2 linked regions of the Cricetulus griseus genome follow. The protein of the gene in region 1 purifies or fractionates together with the protein of each later gene. This does not show direct contact. Links are inferred from orthologs where the notes say so. Each region holds a gene or a part of one and is shown on either strand. Other genes may lie near its edges.

Region 1 (7,942 bases):
TCCCAAATACTGAGGCCAGAGGTGTATGCCACTATGTCCAGTTTATACAGTGCTGGCCATGGACTCCTGGACTCCACACACGAGGCAATGCTCTACCCACTGGTTATATTCTCAGAGCAAATGCTAGTGCTTATGAGAATAAAGTTTCATTAAGAAAAATACCCATTAGTGGGATTTGCTAGAACATGTACACTTATTAAGAAACTGCCACTAGAGAAAAGGCTCAGTGATGAACACTGGCTGCTCTTCCAGAGGACCCAGTTCAATTCCCAGCAACCACATAGTGGTTCACAACCTTCTGTAATTTCAATTCCAGAAAATCCAATGCCCTAACCTCTGCAGATACCAGGCACAAAAGATGTGTACAGACATACATGCAGGCAGAACACCCATACACACACACACACACACACACACACACACACACAACAAACAGTTAAACAGAGAACAGGAAAGGTAATTTTTATGACTCAAAAACATCCTTTTTAAAACATGCACCATACATTATTACTTTTTTAAAAATTATTTTTAGAGTATTGATGTGTATGAATGTTTTGCCTGCTTGTATGTCTGCGCACTGCATTCACACCTGGTGCCTGTGGAACTCAGAAGAGGCTTCTGATCCTCTGGAACTGGAGTTGTAGATAGTTGGGAACCACTATGAGGATGCTGGGAATCAAATCCAGGTCCCCTGTAAGAACAAGTGCTCTTAACAGCTAAGCCATCTGCCAGCCCCTCAAAGTCATCCTCATAGAATAAATACTGCAGTACCCTCAGGGATACCAAGTCCACGGGATTGTTTTCTTGGTTAAAAATAGCTCCCAGAATTCCGCCTGCTTTCTGCAGTTTCACATCTTCTCTCTGGTGTCACTTTTTGCTATTAATGGTGCTCCTGCCTCCAGCAGACTTTCTTCTTCAACCTCTCTCTCCTCAAATGGAGTTAAGGATATGGACAACTGGGGTTGCTACAGCTATATCTGGAAAGGCTGGAGCAGGCTGAGCGAGAGCACAAAGGTCCCGGATCCTTCAGGCAGGAAAGACAACACTATTCTCCTGTCATTGTACCCAAGGTTCTTGACATCTTGCTTGGTTGCTAAGACATTTCTAAAAGCTCAATCTTGTAGGCATTTTTCAAAAAGGTGAGGTTGCTAAGAAGACCACAGGTTCTCACCCTGAAGCCCATGCGCTAGCCTCAAACTCAGGATCCTCCTGCCTCAACTTGCCAAGTACTGTGCGACAGGCATGCCCCACCAAGCACATCTAGATTGTCTCCAGTCTAGCTTCACACACTACATTGATCAAAATCCCAAGTACCTACTAGGTATGGGAGGCATTCACAAGGGCCCAAAGATGTTACAATTAGACAGATATGGTGTCCTTTAAATCTCAGCCTCAGGAGGCAGAGGCAGTGGCAAGTGGACCTCTGTGAGTTCGAGGCATAGAACTCTCTACATAGAGAGTTACAGGCAGGTCAAGACTATAAAGTGAGATCCTGCCTTTAAAAAAAAAATTACACTTTAGAAGAATCAAACATTTCTTGCAAAAATGGCAAAAGCACACACAAGCATTTGCACACACACAGAGATTCTAATCTGAATATTCGATGTTTTCTTGAATGTTGGCTGACTAAAGATACAGCCCAGTGCTGTTAGCAAAAGCAGATAATAAAGCTCACTGTGTCTTAAATGTCACTTCCCATCACCAAACAGCATTAAGCCAGGACCTTTTCAGGCTGTCCACCAGAGGTGAATCAGAGAGGAAGGGCTCCACTTTCCCCTCCCAAGAGCCCCAGGCTACAGAGAAAAAGTGAGAGGCACACACACAGCCTCTCATACTAACTAGCTGAGAAATGACACGCCGTGTATCTGCCACCCTCCTGGGCCAATCACCACTCTTCCATCTGCCTCCACCCACAGACTTAAACACAAGTTCACCAATTGCAACAGGACCCTGGGTGGGACTTCCGCAATCAGTTTAGGTTTAACTACCACCATCTCATCACTGCCAGCAGGGATGACCAGGAAGAGGGAAACAGTCTAAAACTTTCAACTCAAGCTCAGTTTCCAAACAAAAGAACAAGTTGGAAGACAGTGACAAGTGTAAAAACTCAAAACAGCCTCATCCCCCTTGCCCCTGAAAATAAGTGTTTTAAAGAAAACATGAAAATGCAAGCTATCCAGACTTTTGAGGATCAGCTAGGTGCTCAGCTTTCAGTCAAGTGCTGGGCCCTTAAGTTCTCCTCTGGCCCAATTTTGGCTGCTGAGCCTTCTGCCAAAGGGACAGACAGCAGAAGGCTGACAATGTGCAGCTCTCCTTACCCACCCATCAGGGCCCACTGAAGGTCACTGAACGCTTCCTGTGCAGCAGAAAAACAGCTCTTGAAAGCTGGTGCCTATGCCAAACGACCCCCAAAATTCTTCCTGATTCTGAACTAGTACACTCAGACCAGAAACACAGAATTGAACCACAGAACTAACAGGGACCCATCTCAACAATACACTGAAATCTAACACCAAAATTTTACCATGGGCAGTTTCTCCAAACATTTCATTTCCAAAGGCAGAGGAGTGGGGGCATCTACTCTGAGAATCAGAAAGCAGCAAGAGCCTCTACACAAAGTTCACCTCCCACAGCTTTGGAGACAATCTATTTTGAGCTGCTTGTCCCTAAGGCCCTGGCGATCCACTGTCACTGTTTATTCTACAGACTTCCACGACAAACCTGTTGCTGGGAAAGAGCGGGTTAATTTCGACTGATGCATACAAATTAAGTCTAAGACCAGCGGGTAGCCTGCCAGCCCCCAAAAGGAGGGGAAGAGACTGAGGATGTTGGGGATGACACCACCAACCCCACTTGGGTCTGTCCCCCAGCCTCAAGTGTCTCATACACAAGTCTACTGGTACACAGCAGACCAAAGAGAAAGTGCAGAGGGATGGCTGTGGGCGGACTTCAACCACACCGGGCCTAAAGGGCCCGCCATCCATCTTGCTCCAGGCCCCCTCTGCGGAGCTCGAGTCGAGCCTGAGCATGGTGACACCCTGTGTCCCGAGAGGGCCCCTGAGAGATACTGAGGCCTGCTCCCCTGGCCTTCCACAGGCAGGGGCACCCAAGACTTATCCTGGGTCAGACTGGGCTTCCCGGAACTAGTCCAGCCCTGACACTGGCCCAAAAGGACCCCACAGGCCCAACTCAAACCCAAGCCCGAAGTGACCCGAGGCCAAGCCTTGAACCCTGGCCCAAGGGACCCCGGGCCCAATTCTGACCCTGGCCCAAGGGACCTCAGACTCAACTCCGACCCCTACCCAATCAACTCCAGGCCCAGCCCAAACACAAGCACCAAGAGGCCAGTAGCTCAACCCTGACCCCTGCCCAAGTGACCCCAGACCCCAACCCTGACCCCAGCCCGAAGGGATTCCAGTCTAAGGGGCACCAGGCACGACCCTGACTCGGGCCCAAAGGGACCCCAGGTCCACCCCTGAGGGACCCCGGGCCCGCCGACCCCAGCCGCACCTTGACGTGGAAGCGGATGAGCGCCAGGCGGATGCAGTGGGCCATGCAGACCGGTGGCAGGAACCAGACCTTGGGCGGTGGCGTGCCCTTGTTCTGGACATGGCTGACGATCTGCTGCGCCGTCTGGCGCTCGTTGCCCTGCCGCTTGACCCACTCGTGCAACCGGGCCTTCTCGAGCGCGCCGTTGAAGAAGACGAAGAGCTCGATGTTGCCGCCGAAGCAGGCCTTGGCCAGAGCCGCCAGGTAGCCGAGCATGTGGTTCCACTGGCCGCCGCTCACCCAGTCGGTATAGAAGCCACCGTACAGGCGGTGCAGGCAGTTGTCGGCATCCACCAGCAGGCGCAGCGGGGTCTGCGGGGGCCGCTGCCGCCCGCCGCCCACCAGACTGCCCCGGGCCAGCTTCTGCAGCTCCACCGGCACCACGGCGCTCGGACAGTGCTTCTCGATGTAGTCCTGGAAGCCCTGCACGCCCATGGCTGCGGCGGCGGCGGCGGCGGCGGCAGCGGCGGCGGCGGCGGGCGCGCGCGGGCGGCGGCGGCGGCGGCGGGGCCGGCGGCGGCGGGGCGGGGGGCGGCGGGGCCGTGGCGCGGCCGGCGGGCGCGGGCAGCCTCAGGGCGGGCTGGGGCTGGCCGGGGCGCGCTCACGGCCACCTCGGCCGCCATGTGCTGCCACCTCCCAGGGCCATGTCTGGGGAGGGACCTGCGCCGCCGCCGCGCTGCGAGGCCGAGGCCGAGGCTGGGCCGGGCGGGGCGGCGCTGACGTCGGGCCCGCCCGCGCGGACGCGGAAGGCGGAAGAGGCGGCGCCGGGCCGCGGCCGGGCCCGGGGCGGCGGCGGGCGGAGGAAGAGGAGGAGGCGGAGGAGGAGGAAGAGGAGGGGCTGGTGGCGCAGGCGCAGGCCTCGCCCGGAGGCCACGGGCCTCGGAGGCCGGCCCCGCCCAGCGCGCGGCTGCGAGCTCGGGAGGCGTGGCCGGCGGCCCGCGCTCCTCCTCCACCGCGTGGTGGGAGCCGCGGGGCGAAGAAGCCGGGAGCCTGGCACCGCGAGCCGCTGAGGAGGACGGGGGCGACAAGATGGCGTCGCTCCCGGGACAAGGCCGTGACTCGACGGCCGCGCGTCAGAGCCCGGCTGAGGAGACGACTCTCCGAGAGCCGCAAGCCCGGCGGCGTGGCGCCGCCCTCCGGAGACGGGCGGACGTGCGCTGCCCCGGGGCTGCCTGAGGAGGCCGCCAGGATCCCGCTGAACCCCGGCGGCGGCGGCGGCGGCGGCGGTACGTAGGCTCTGCTGGGAGCAAGCGCTCTGAAAGAGACGTCTGTCCCAGCGCTCCCGCGCGGCTCGCCTGGTACAGTGCCAGCCGGCAGGCACGCAGCCCCGGGCCCGACCCCTGTGTGCAGCGCGGGCCTTAATCCCCGTATTCCGGAAGAAGTGGAGGCCGGAGGATCAGAAGCCCAAGGTCGTCTGCGTCCGGTTGGAAATCATCAGCCCGGGCGGCAAGAGACCCTGTCTCCAAAACCAAGTTTAAAGGAGCGTGTTTGCTTACCTGCGCTCTTCATCTGGGCTTCCTCTGGGCGCGCCGGTGCTGGAGCCGGGGGCACGCAGAGCTCCTGAGCACCAAGTCCATGCAGACCCAAAGCCCCCGTCGGTCTCCGAGAAAAGGCAAACGGAGTTCTATAGTTTTCCTTTTTTTAAGAATATTTCTATTCCTTGGCAGCTTCGTCCATGTCTTACAATGCATCGTGATCATAACACCTCATTCTTAATCTCAAGCCCAGGCCCCTGTGACGTAGATAAAACGCTCTTGGTGCCTTGATGGAATTTTAAAACCCGATAAGTTATGCCACTTATGTATAAAGTTAGAGATGAGGACAGGATCACGTGTTATTTGGAAATGGGACTTGCACTTAAAACCTCGCTAAAGAATAACACCCCCAAAATAGCCAAATTTTTTTGGAATTCATAGTATACAAGATTGAGCATGAGTCTCCGTCACTTGTATTTTCAAGAACAAGATTCCACATATTTTCATGCAATTGTTTAGGTTTGTGTTTATTTTTGTTGAGGTTTCTTGTTTGCTGGTCTGTTTCTGCAGAGCTGGGGGGGGGGGAACCAACTCAGGGCTCGATAGCCCTTTGCCATTGCTGACTCCCCATGCGGTTTTTATTTCTTTTAAACATTCGTATTTAAAAAGAGAGAGAGAGAGAGAAACCCTTTTGTGCTAGTAGTCATAATTCTGGAAATAAATGTACTTTTCATCTTAAAACAGGAACATCAAGGTTCTCGAGGTGGACCACCGATTCTGTGTCATCTTCACTTTGGTCCTTCCAAAAACCACTTTGTCCGTGAGAACCTTGGCTTTCACTGACCTTCAGGCTAAGACAGATGCTAAATACTGGATTTATACTCACTTCCTACTCCTGTGGTTAATGATGGGGGAAATGTTTGGCTAACAACAGTGCAAATAAAACTCAGGCGTTGAGTAATATTTAAATTCTCTAAATACCAAGGTAAAAGTAAGCCCTATTGAAAAATAAAACTTTTTTTTAAAGATTTTGTTTATTTTTTATGTATACAACATTCTGCTTCCATGTATATCTGCACACCAGAAGAGGGCACCAGATCTCATAATGGATGGTTGCGAGCCACCATGCGGTTGCTGGGAATTGAACTCAGGACCTCTGAAAGAGCAGCCAATGCTCTTAACCTCTGAGCCATCTCTCCAGCCCAAAAAATAAAACTTTTTATCTGCCTGGGAATACAATATGATTAGGGGATTTTTTCTTCATTTAGTCTTTGGGTTGTATTAAATTTTTCATGAAGAGATTACCAAGCTATTGAGAAAAAAAAAAAAACTGAAAAATTAAAATGTTAAAAACTGCCTAACCATAGGCTTCACAAGAATTACCAAATAAAAGTAAGATTACTGATAGTGGTAGGGGGCACAGATCCTTAATCCCAGCATTCAGGATGCAAAGGCAGGTGAAGCTTTGTGGACTCAAAGCTAGTCTGTTCCAGGACAGCCAGTGCTACATAGAGACCCTGTCTCAAAAAAAAAAAGAAAGAAAAAAATTATGATTACTGAATTAAAACGAAAGCCAACCAGTGTGTAAAATTTACCAAGCCCTCAGGAGAAATGCTTGCTTTTAGCTCTTTTCCATTTTAACTTGTTTCTGGCCAGTTAATTCATCTCTGTTTAAAGCAGGAAAATATTGCCCATTTTTGGATTGGGAGTTTTGTGTTGGATTTGGGGGGTTTTCTTTAGACAGTTTCACTCATAGCCTGAGGTAACTGTAATTCACTATGAAGTCCAGCCAGCCTCAATTTACAGCAATCCCCCTGACTGAGTTCTAGGATTTCAGGTGTGAGACACAATGCCTGACAAAAATACTGGCAATAACAGGTGAGTTTTTCTTCAGGTGGTGGAGACCTCTTTCCTACCCATGTAGTCGATAGCCAAAGCTGGAAATCCAGGCCACAGCTAAGTCGAGACTCTGTGACCATGAAGAGACGCAGTTGTTCCTGCTTGGGATTTGAACCTGTGATGTGTGCCTAGACCTGATGTGTTCATTGGTTGTTACTTCAGAGTCCCCCCCCAGAGCACAGGCTTTTTCTGCAGTTAGGGCTTTTCTTGTTGGAGTTTCAGGTACTCTGGGATTAGGGACCATTTTCTTCTCAGGTGGATTAAAAATGTTGTTTGTTCTCAACACAGCTGTGAATTCATTTTCCCTTTGAACTATTTTAAAAATACATTTTAAAGTTTTAAGTTACAAGCCAGTGGGAAAGTAAAACTGGATTCTGTGAAATCTAAATTTGCAAGTGTCTTAGTTAGGCTTTGTCTTGTTGTGATGAAACACCATGACCAAAAGCAACGTGGGTTAGAGAGAGTTTATTTTGCTTACACTTCAGTTTCACAGTTCTTCATGAAGGGAAGTCAGGGCAAGAACTCGACAGCCGGAACCTGGAAGCAGGAACTGACACAGTCTGTGGAGGATCACTGCTTACTGACTTGTTCCCCATGGCTTGCTCGACCTGCTTTCTTATACATCCCAGCACCACCAGCCCAGAGATGGCCCCACCCACAATGGGCTGGGCCCTCCCACTGTAATCACTAGTTAAGAAAATGCCGTACAGGCTCGCCTATATCCTGATCTTTTGAAGACATTCTCTTGGTTGAGATTCCCTCCTCTGAGATAACTCTAGCTTCTGTTAGCCAGCACAGCACAGATGAAGAACAGAGTCCTGAAATGATGAATTATTTACCACCTCAGCCAGAAGTCCCTGCACATCCTTGACTGCCAGAATTGCTCCTTACCTGAACGTCCGTACTAGTGGAGGCTCTTTGATGTCCTTGTGTCCCACTGTACCACTTCTTGGCATCTTAAACCAACTTCTCCCACACCCCTCTTTATGGAAACTAGAGATCTAGGTATCCTACTTTGT
Region 2 (7,371 bases), on another chromosome or scaffold:
CTTGTTCCTAATTTGAAAAAAAAAAGAGCCATTGTACCAAGCACACCAAAGAAATTAGTCCTGTCACAATCATGTAAAATATGAGAGGTCTATCATAGTACTAAGTTGAACCTTAAGAAAAGTTAATTAATTTTCTGAGATAGGGTGTCATTAAGTCTTCCAGGCTCGCCTTAAGCTCTTGAATTTATGGGTCTCCTGCTTCAGTCTCCTAAGAAATGCAACTAGAGGTTCAGGTCAATGAACTTGGCCAATATAATTACTAAATGTACCCCCAAAGGTAGAAAATCTCACTGTGATATCTAAGATAAACAGGAGGATGTACTGCAAAAATAATTGTCATGGTGCAATTAGAAAACATCTAAATTATATACAATTTCTATTGTAACCAAGTCACAATTTTCAAGTTGATCTCTGCCCTGACTATGTATCAAAATTCCATAATGGGAAAGGGACATATTTACACTTTGATTGCTAGCCATGCTGAAAACTGTGCAGTTTCTTTAATTAGGAAGCCAGAGGAATGCACAGCACTATGAAGGTGAAGCTGCCATATTTTAAAGCGAGCTGGTAGGGAGGTAGTTGTGCACCATCAAGCTTTTACTGACCACTGGATGAGATGACATCTGAAAGGCTCTACTAAATCCATAAATATGAGATTTTGTTCACATTTACAAAGCCTTTCTTTCATTTTATCAGGAATTCTGCTGTCTCTGTACCTTACAAGAAACCTAGCAAAAAACCATGCTTCCAAAAAGTGAATGGATCTATGCAGATTTAAGAATCAGAGGTGGATCTAGTCCAAACCTTCTGCTTCATGCTCATTCACACTCTCTCCCATGCTTCCCCATGGATTCACATTACCCTCAGTCAGTATTTCTGCTCCAGTCTCCTGAGTGCTGAGATTATAAGCCAATAATTCCCTCTAAAATGTAAATTATCATTAGAAAAGGCTCAACCACGAGAGTACTTTGCACATTTTTCTGTACTAGGAAGTTAATATTACTACCCCTTGAAAGGGCAAAGATCCCCTGAACAAAAGCAGTAATTGTCAACCTATAAGCTAAAATATTTAGACACAGGGGTAAGTGTAATTTTTGCAGAATACTTTAAAGGACTGTTCACTTAAACAGAGTTAAATTAATAACAATTAGTTGTTAATTCTCTTTCACTGGTTTAGAGCTAAACTGCCAACTGTTTAGTGTAATGGGTGTGGATTCTGTCATTAAATAAAACATTTAAAAGCATTTTTAAAGTAGGATTATTTCTATGGGCCCAGAGGGCATTTCCCCTGTCACATGACTCCTAAAAAGGAGGAACAAATGACTTCCTTTGCTTTACAAAAGAAGGGTCTACAGTGGCCAGACCTACAGGATTAAATCTGACAGTTACTAGCTCCTAGTAGCAGTCAGAATTGGATACACCTGACATAGAGCAAGGCTGGGAGCATGATGAGTGTAGGAAACAGGAAATGGATTGTCCCTAAAACTCAGAATTCATTAGAGTAAAAAAATCTAAAGATGATGTATCCCTTTAATTCATAGAGAAACCCACCAAAGACATAGAAGATTGAGTTGAGTTCAGAAAGACACCAATATTTAGGTTTAAAAGTTCCAAAAATATATATTATTTCACACTGTTTTTCATTAGTAAGAAGTCGGAGATTACTTTTTAAAGGCACATTTTATTATTTATGTGTATGGATTTAGGTGTCTGTCTGTGGGTATGTAGACATGACAGAATGTGCTTAGAGTTCAGAAGAGGCATTGGATTGCTCTAGAGCTTTAGGTACATACAGGTGGTTACGGGAAGCCTGACATATGTCCTCTGGAAGAGCAGCAAGCCCATAGCTGCTGCGCCATCTCCCCAGTCCCGAGTTTAAACAAATTTTTTAAATTAAAAACAAACAAACAAAAAAACAAAAAAACAACCTGGCTTTCCTAAGGTTTAAGCCAACAAGGTTGTAACTAGAGTCCCCCAAGGAAAGCTCACAAGTAAAGTACTTACAGACATTCCTGTTATACTCCTTCGCTAGTGGGGAAGACACACTTACCGAGACTCAGTAAGTTCTCTGCCTCTTTTTGGGTTCTTCTCGTGGCGAGTCTGCCAGCATGACTTTCAGTCGGACTCCATTCAGAATTTTCCCATGCAGGGTTGAGATTGCATCGTTGGCGCTCATTCTATCTGCATACTTGACGTAGCCCACATTTTTTCCTGACACAAGGTAAACTTCTATCAGGTTACCAAAACGACTGGAACAAAGTAAAAAAAACAAAGAAAGCATCAGAGACAGATGGATGCTCTCAGTACATTCTAAACACGGGTCTAGATTCTTTCCCAATGCCTGTCTATGGCCAACATCTAACTGCTTGCCAGGTACTGCGAAACAGCTCCTTCAGCTATTCTCTTAGCTCTCCAGGCCTCCTTCCTCACCAACCGCATCTTTATCTGTTCCTCCCTCTAACAATAGTCTCACCTCACCTCCCAAGTAAGAATGAACTTAGCTTACAGGACAGTCACTGGCTTCTCCAGCTTTGGACACCCCCCCCCCCCCACACACACAATCTCTAAGTCTGCTTCCAAACAATCTCTTTTTATATTCCTCTGGCAGGAAAACAAACAAAACCTCCAAAACTCAAACTACACTCTGAAAGGTTCAGGCATTATTCTGGCCTGCCCCTGTTACCTGGTGGAATCCACTCAGGCAATACCCTGGTCAGCCCAAGGTTCCATGGGAAAGAAGTCTGCACGCAGGTGCAGAGGACCCCTTTAAAAGATAAGCCCCTGCCCCTTTACGCTCTCTCTGTCTGTCTCTCTCTCTGTGTGCTCTCCCGTCTCTGTTTCCCCGCTCTGTCTCTCTATGGCGACCGGCCATGGCGGTCAGCCATTTACCCCTGTTCCTCTTCTTAGTCTCCCCATTCGGGCCTTATAATAAACTTATAGTCTTAAGTCTCATGTCTCAGAAATTTCTCTTTTCTTCTTTTTAAACAAAACAATAACACACCCCAACCTTCTCCTCTGGCAAAACTAGGTTTATCCTGCAGGTCCTATCAAAACCTTGCTTAAAAGAGAAATCTCAGAATTTCTGTGGTACCACTGCTGCTCTGTATACTTAATGTCTTGTTAATGTAATAAACAGTTTTGTTTATATCATACTTTAGCACTCCAGCCCAGTGGCTGCCTAGCACAGAGAAGTAGCTCAAGAGCAAAATAAAACAAAACCTTTAGCTAAATTAATCAGTTATATAAAGGCCAGCATACTATCACCACACGCCTGATATTCTGAGTGGATATTTAACATGTTTCTAACTTGCTTAACTCATTAATATTCTTAGTAGGCAAAAGGAAAATGTCAAAACAAAAACAAAAACCAAAACCCCAAAACAAAAAAAACCAAAAAACAAAACAAACAAAAACCAGGTAGGGTTAAAAAAAAAAAAAAAAAAAGCTAGGGTAGTCATAAAAAGTTATATTAAAATAAAAAATAGGTAAAATTTTTTCCTCCTCTTTCCTTTATATTATCCCCTATAGCCAAGTGATTTGCTCTATTTGACATAATCCTCAGGATCTAACCGAGTGCCAGGCAAATGTAAGGCATTTAGTAAACTGTTGGACTGTATTACGACATGAAGGAAATGGAATGTGAAGACAGGTTTATGTAAATGGATCTACTCCTAAGAGACAAGTGATTTGTCATTCCACACCTGCAGCTTTTAAAAACCATCCTGCATGTCTTATGTCTCAAAACACAAAAGCAAACACAACAACAAACCTGGGAAATTCTGTGTAGAGGTTAGGATATGTGCCTGACAAGGGAAATGACCATAAATTGAAAAGATCAATAAGGAGTCTTGCAAACCTCAGAACAGGTCATCTCTCAGTGGCAGGATCATGAGGATGGCGGTTCCTTGCTTAAGTGCATTGTTTACAGCTACCAAGGTGTAGCTTTGTAGAAGTGAATCTTACCAGAATATATCCTCCAACACGTCTAATGGTAATGGATGAGGGTTAAACACGATAAAAAGTCTTTCTTTCACAGGCGTTTCGGGAGGGGCTTTCTTTTTGCAGGATGGAAGTACAACATCTGTCTGGATTTGAGGCAACTGTGACCCAGAACTTCCTCCAAATTGCTGTGGAAGAGTTAGGCACAAAGGGAGAGAGATAAGATTGTTCTTCAGGGACTTGGAGCCAACAGCTGAAAGTGTGTCCCAGCACCCATGTGGTCTTTTACAACAGCTATGAAAATGTTCTTTCTTCAGTAATCAACAAATGCCGTATTATTTGTTTCCTGTATTACAGAGGTCACACTTTTACCTACTTACCAGAAACTGCTGCTGCTGACTTGGGTTACTCCACACCATTGATGCGAGCTGGGACGCCACCATCTGTGTGGCCATTTTTCTGATGAGACTGGAAACAACAATCGACAACTTACAGAAAATTAGAAATATTCAGCATCTTAATAGTAGTTTGTTGGAAATGACTTGCTCACCTGAGGTTAACTGTTTATTTTTATTCTTCAAGCCACAGCTTGGCTAGGACATTCCTGGAATGGTACTTACTCTGCCGAATTACTTCCGTCATCCAGGAAGGAAACACCTATCCGATTCCCAGGGGGGTACTGGAATCCATGCAATTTGTATTTTGCATAAACAGCAGATGCTACATTAAAATACTGAACCACACCATGACCTATACAGAAATGGAAAAGGCAGTAGATGGAGGTGTCTTTAAGGCCTGAGTTATAATGTACTTGAAGGCAAAAAATACTGAACTTTGGTTATTATCACACAACTAGCAAATACAAAATCAAAGAGCAGAGAACAAAGCTCTGTTAAGTACATACACAACATTATTTGTAGGCAGTGAAGTGTAAGTCAAATCTTGGTAAAACAGAAACATAGTACTTTATGAAAATGTAGTATCAGCATATATTCCATCTAATGAATTGAATTTTAAGATTCCCCCCCCCATCCCTTTTTCTTAGCGGGATCTCACTATATAGACCAAGCCATTGGCCTTTAACTTGCAATTCCACTACCTCTGCGTCCCAGTGAGGACTGGGACTACAGGCACTCACCACCAGGCCCAGCTTAAATTTTCTTACAGAACATCAATATACACAAAAACTGAAACTCTTAATTCTTTGAAATTGGGAGTTTTCCCTACTATACTGTATACTCAGTAGTTGGAAGAGCGGAGGAGGTGGTACATAGGAAAAACAGCAGGATGGTGACAGGGTCTTAGGCTGCAAGTTGCCCATTTCACATTCCTTTGTTAAGATTCCAGCTCTGGGGATAGCTTTCAATTAAAGAGGCGGCCCTGAGGGGTGGGGAGGTTTTATCTTTGAGCCTAGGAGCCTGTGACACAACCAGAAGGTTTTCATAACCCACTTTGGGGAAAAACACAAAATCATATTCTTGTGTAAATCAAATTGTATGTACAGATTACTTTTTATTATCAACTTGACACAACATAGAGTCACCTGGGGAGGGGGAACCTCAGCTAAGGTACTGCCTGGCTCAGAATACTTACTGACATGCCAGTGGGGAATGTCTTGGTTGTAACTAATACACATTGCTTCTACTGCAAATCTGAGAATGCACAGAGATGCAGAGCACTTAAAAGGCAAGACAGTTTAAGAAAAAGACTTGCAGATGAATGAGCAAGAAACGGCAAGCATTTTATAATTTTGCTAGCATTAATCCAAAGGGAAAAAACAGACCCTAGCCCGAGGCACTGTTGTTGTACAATGCGATATAGAGTCCTTTATTTTGTGAGTTATTTTTAGGTGAATGGCATTTATAAGGAATGTATTTATTTATACATTCTTGGGAATTTATTTATTAAGGTATCTTTGGATTTTAAATATAAGGTAGGAAAAAAGGAACAGGAGAGGGTAATAGGTAGCAATGAGCTTAAAGTACATGATATACCTGAACAAAATGGCATTGTAAAAATAATCACTGTACAAGCAACATGTTTGTTATCAAAAGAATTAAAAAAACTAGAAAACATAAAATATAAACTTCCTGCAACATAAACAGTATAAGGATGTGTCATGGGTAAAAACTACTTTAATAAAACACAGTAAACTTAACAGCAAAACAATTATTTTACCATAATTCGAATAAGGATCTCGCTGAACCTCACAATACTCCAGTCCTGGGACTATGTCAAAAATGCTGAAGAGCTGTTCTTCCGTGAAGGGGACTCTTGAGACAACTGACAGGCGTTTAGAGATAGCTTCCTGACTTCTGCTGTCACTCTTGTCAAAACTTGAAAATTCAGATTGTTGTTCCCCAACTATATACATACATACATACACACACACACACACACACACACACAAAAGTAAATCATACATTAAAAATTCATGTAAACATTTTGTAAAGGATATTTAAAATGTACTATACTGAACAAAGACACTGTATTTTGTTGTATTCTTTTTAGAAATACATTTTTAATTTATCTCTGAGAATTTCATACATGTATCCAATGTGTTTTGATCACATCTATCGCCCCTACTTTGCAGTACTGTAGTAGTCTACAAGCATAAAGAAGCAATGACAAGAAAACACCTTCACCCACTCCTTACTAAACTTCAACACAGAACTACAGAAATGTCTAGTTAAATACCACAGGAAGGAGTTGAGTATATAAAACTGTAAAACATGGCAGGAATTTTATCTGAAAAGCTAAGCCAATGACATCCAGGCACCTTGATTTCATCATTTCCCCTCACCCTTTTCTAGCATCTACTTTTGCTATTCTCCTCTCTGTAAACCAAACTTTAAGGTAGCATACTGAAGGGATATTTGTGTAAAAAATTTATGCTTTTGGTTGGCTGCACAAAAGCAGAATTCACACACATGCAAAGGTAGTAGACACACAGGATAGTTTGTAGATAATGTGCAGCTAGCCAGAGACATCTATACTGGAAATAAGTTGAACAAAATAAGGGTTAAGTATTAAGGATATTAGAAGTACTGACCAACTTCCCAGGAAAAAACAAAACAAATCTTGCATGTAAGATTTTCATTCATTAGGAAAGATTTTTCAAGTTGCTGACAAAAAATTAAATTGGATCACATATACTTACCATGCTGCTAATGTAAAGATAAAGGCGGTCTACTCACCGAAGGGAAACAGATTTACTCTCGGTTCATGCCCCAAAGCCTCTTGCCTCATGCTACTGTAATAATCTTGTTCTGGGGACTCAGGTACTTTATTTTTAGGTTCAGCCAAGAGTGCTCTGAAACCTGAAAATGAGAAGCCATGAATTTTCAAGTTTCATAGCAAATTTAACATATTTGGTTTTGAGGGTCTGACCTGGTTTCAGAAATATAACTATACAAAACAGCCTCTACATGG

The links.
Region 2: the proteins of Fam120a (region 1) and Rbm45 purify together in Homo sapiens (co-immunoprecipitation; 3 studies listed by BioGRID and IntAct, with this or other methods). This does not show direct contact. The link is inferred for Cricetulus griseus from reciprocal best matches to the Homo sapiens genes FAM120A and RBM45.

The regions. Positions count from the first base shown.
Region 1 is NC_048596.1:268,762,197-268,770,138, forward strand, and holds the start of Fam120a (constitutive coactivator of PPAR-gamma-like protein 1), read right to left. Parts: upstream 4,025-7,942; 5' UTR 3,985-4,024; coding exon 3,511-3,984; intron 1-3,510. UniProt on the Homo sapiens protein: Component of the oxidative stress-induced survival signaling. May regulate the activation of SRC family protein kinases. May act as a scaffolding protein enabling SRC family protein kinases to phosphorylate and activate PI3-kinase.
Region 2 is NC_048599.1:98,652,965-98,660,335, forward strand, and holds part of Rbm45 (RNA-binding protein 45), read right to left. Parts: intron 7,260-7,371; coding exon 7,137-7,259; intron 6,304-7,136; coding exon 6,118-6,303; intron 4,690-6,117; coding exon 4,560-4,689; intron 4,408-4,559; coding exon 4,320-4,407; intron 4,128-4,319; coding exon 3,964-4,127; intron 2,250-3,963; coding exon 2,057-2,249; 3' UTR 2,051-2,056; intron 1-2,050. UniProt on the Homo sapiens protein: RNA-binding protein with binding specificity for poly(C). May play an important role in neural development.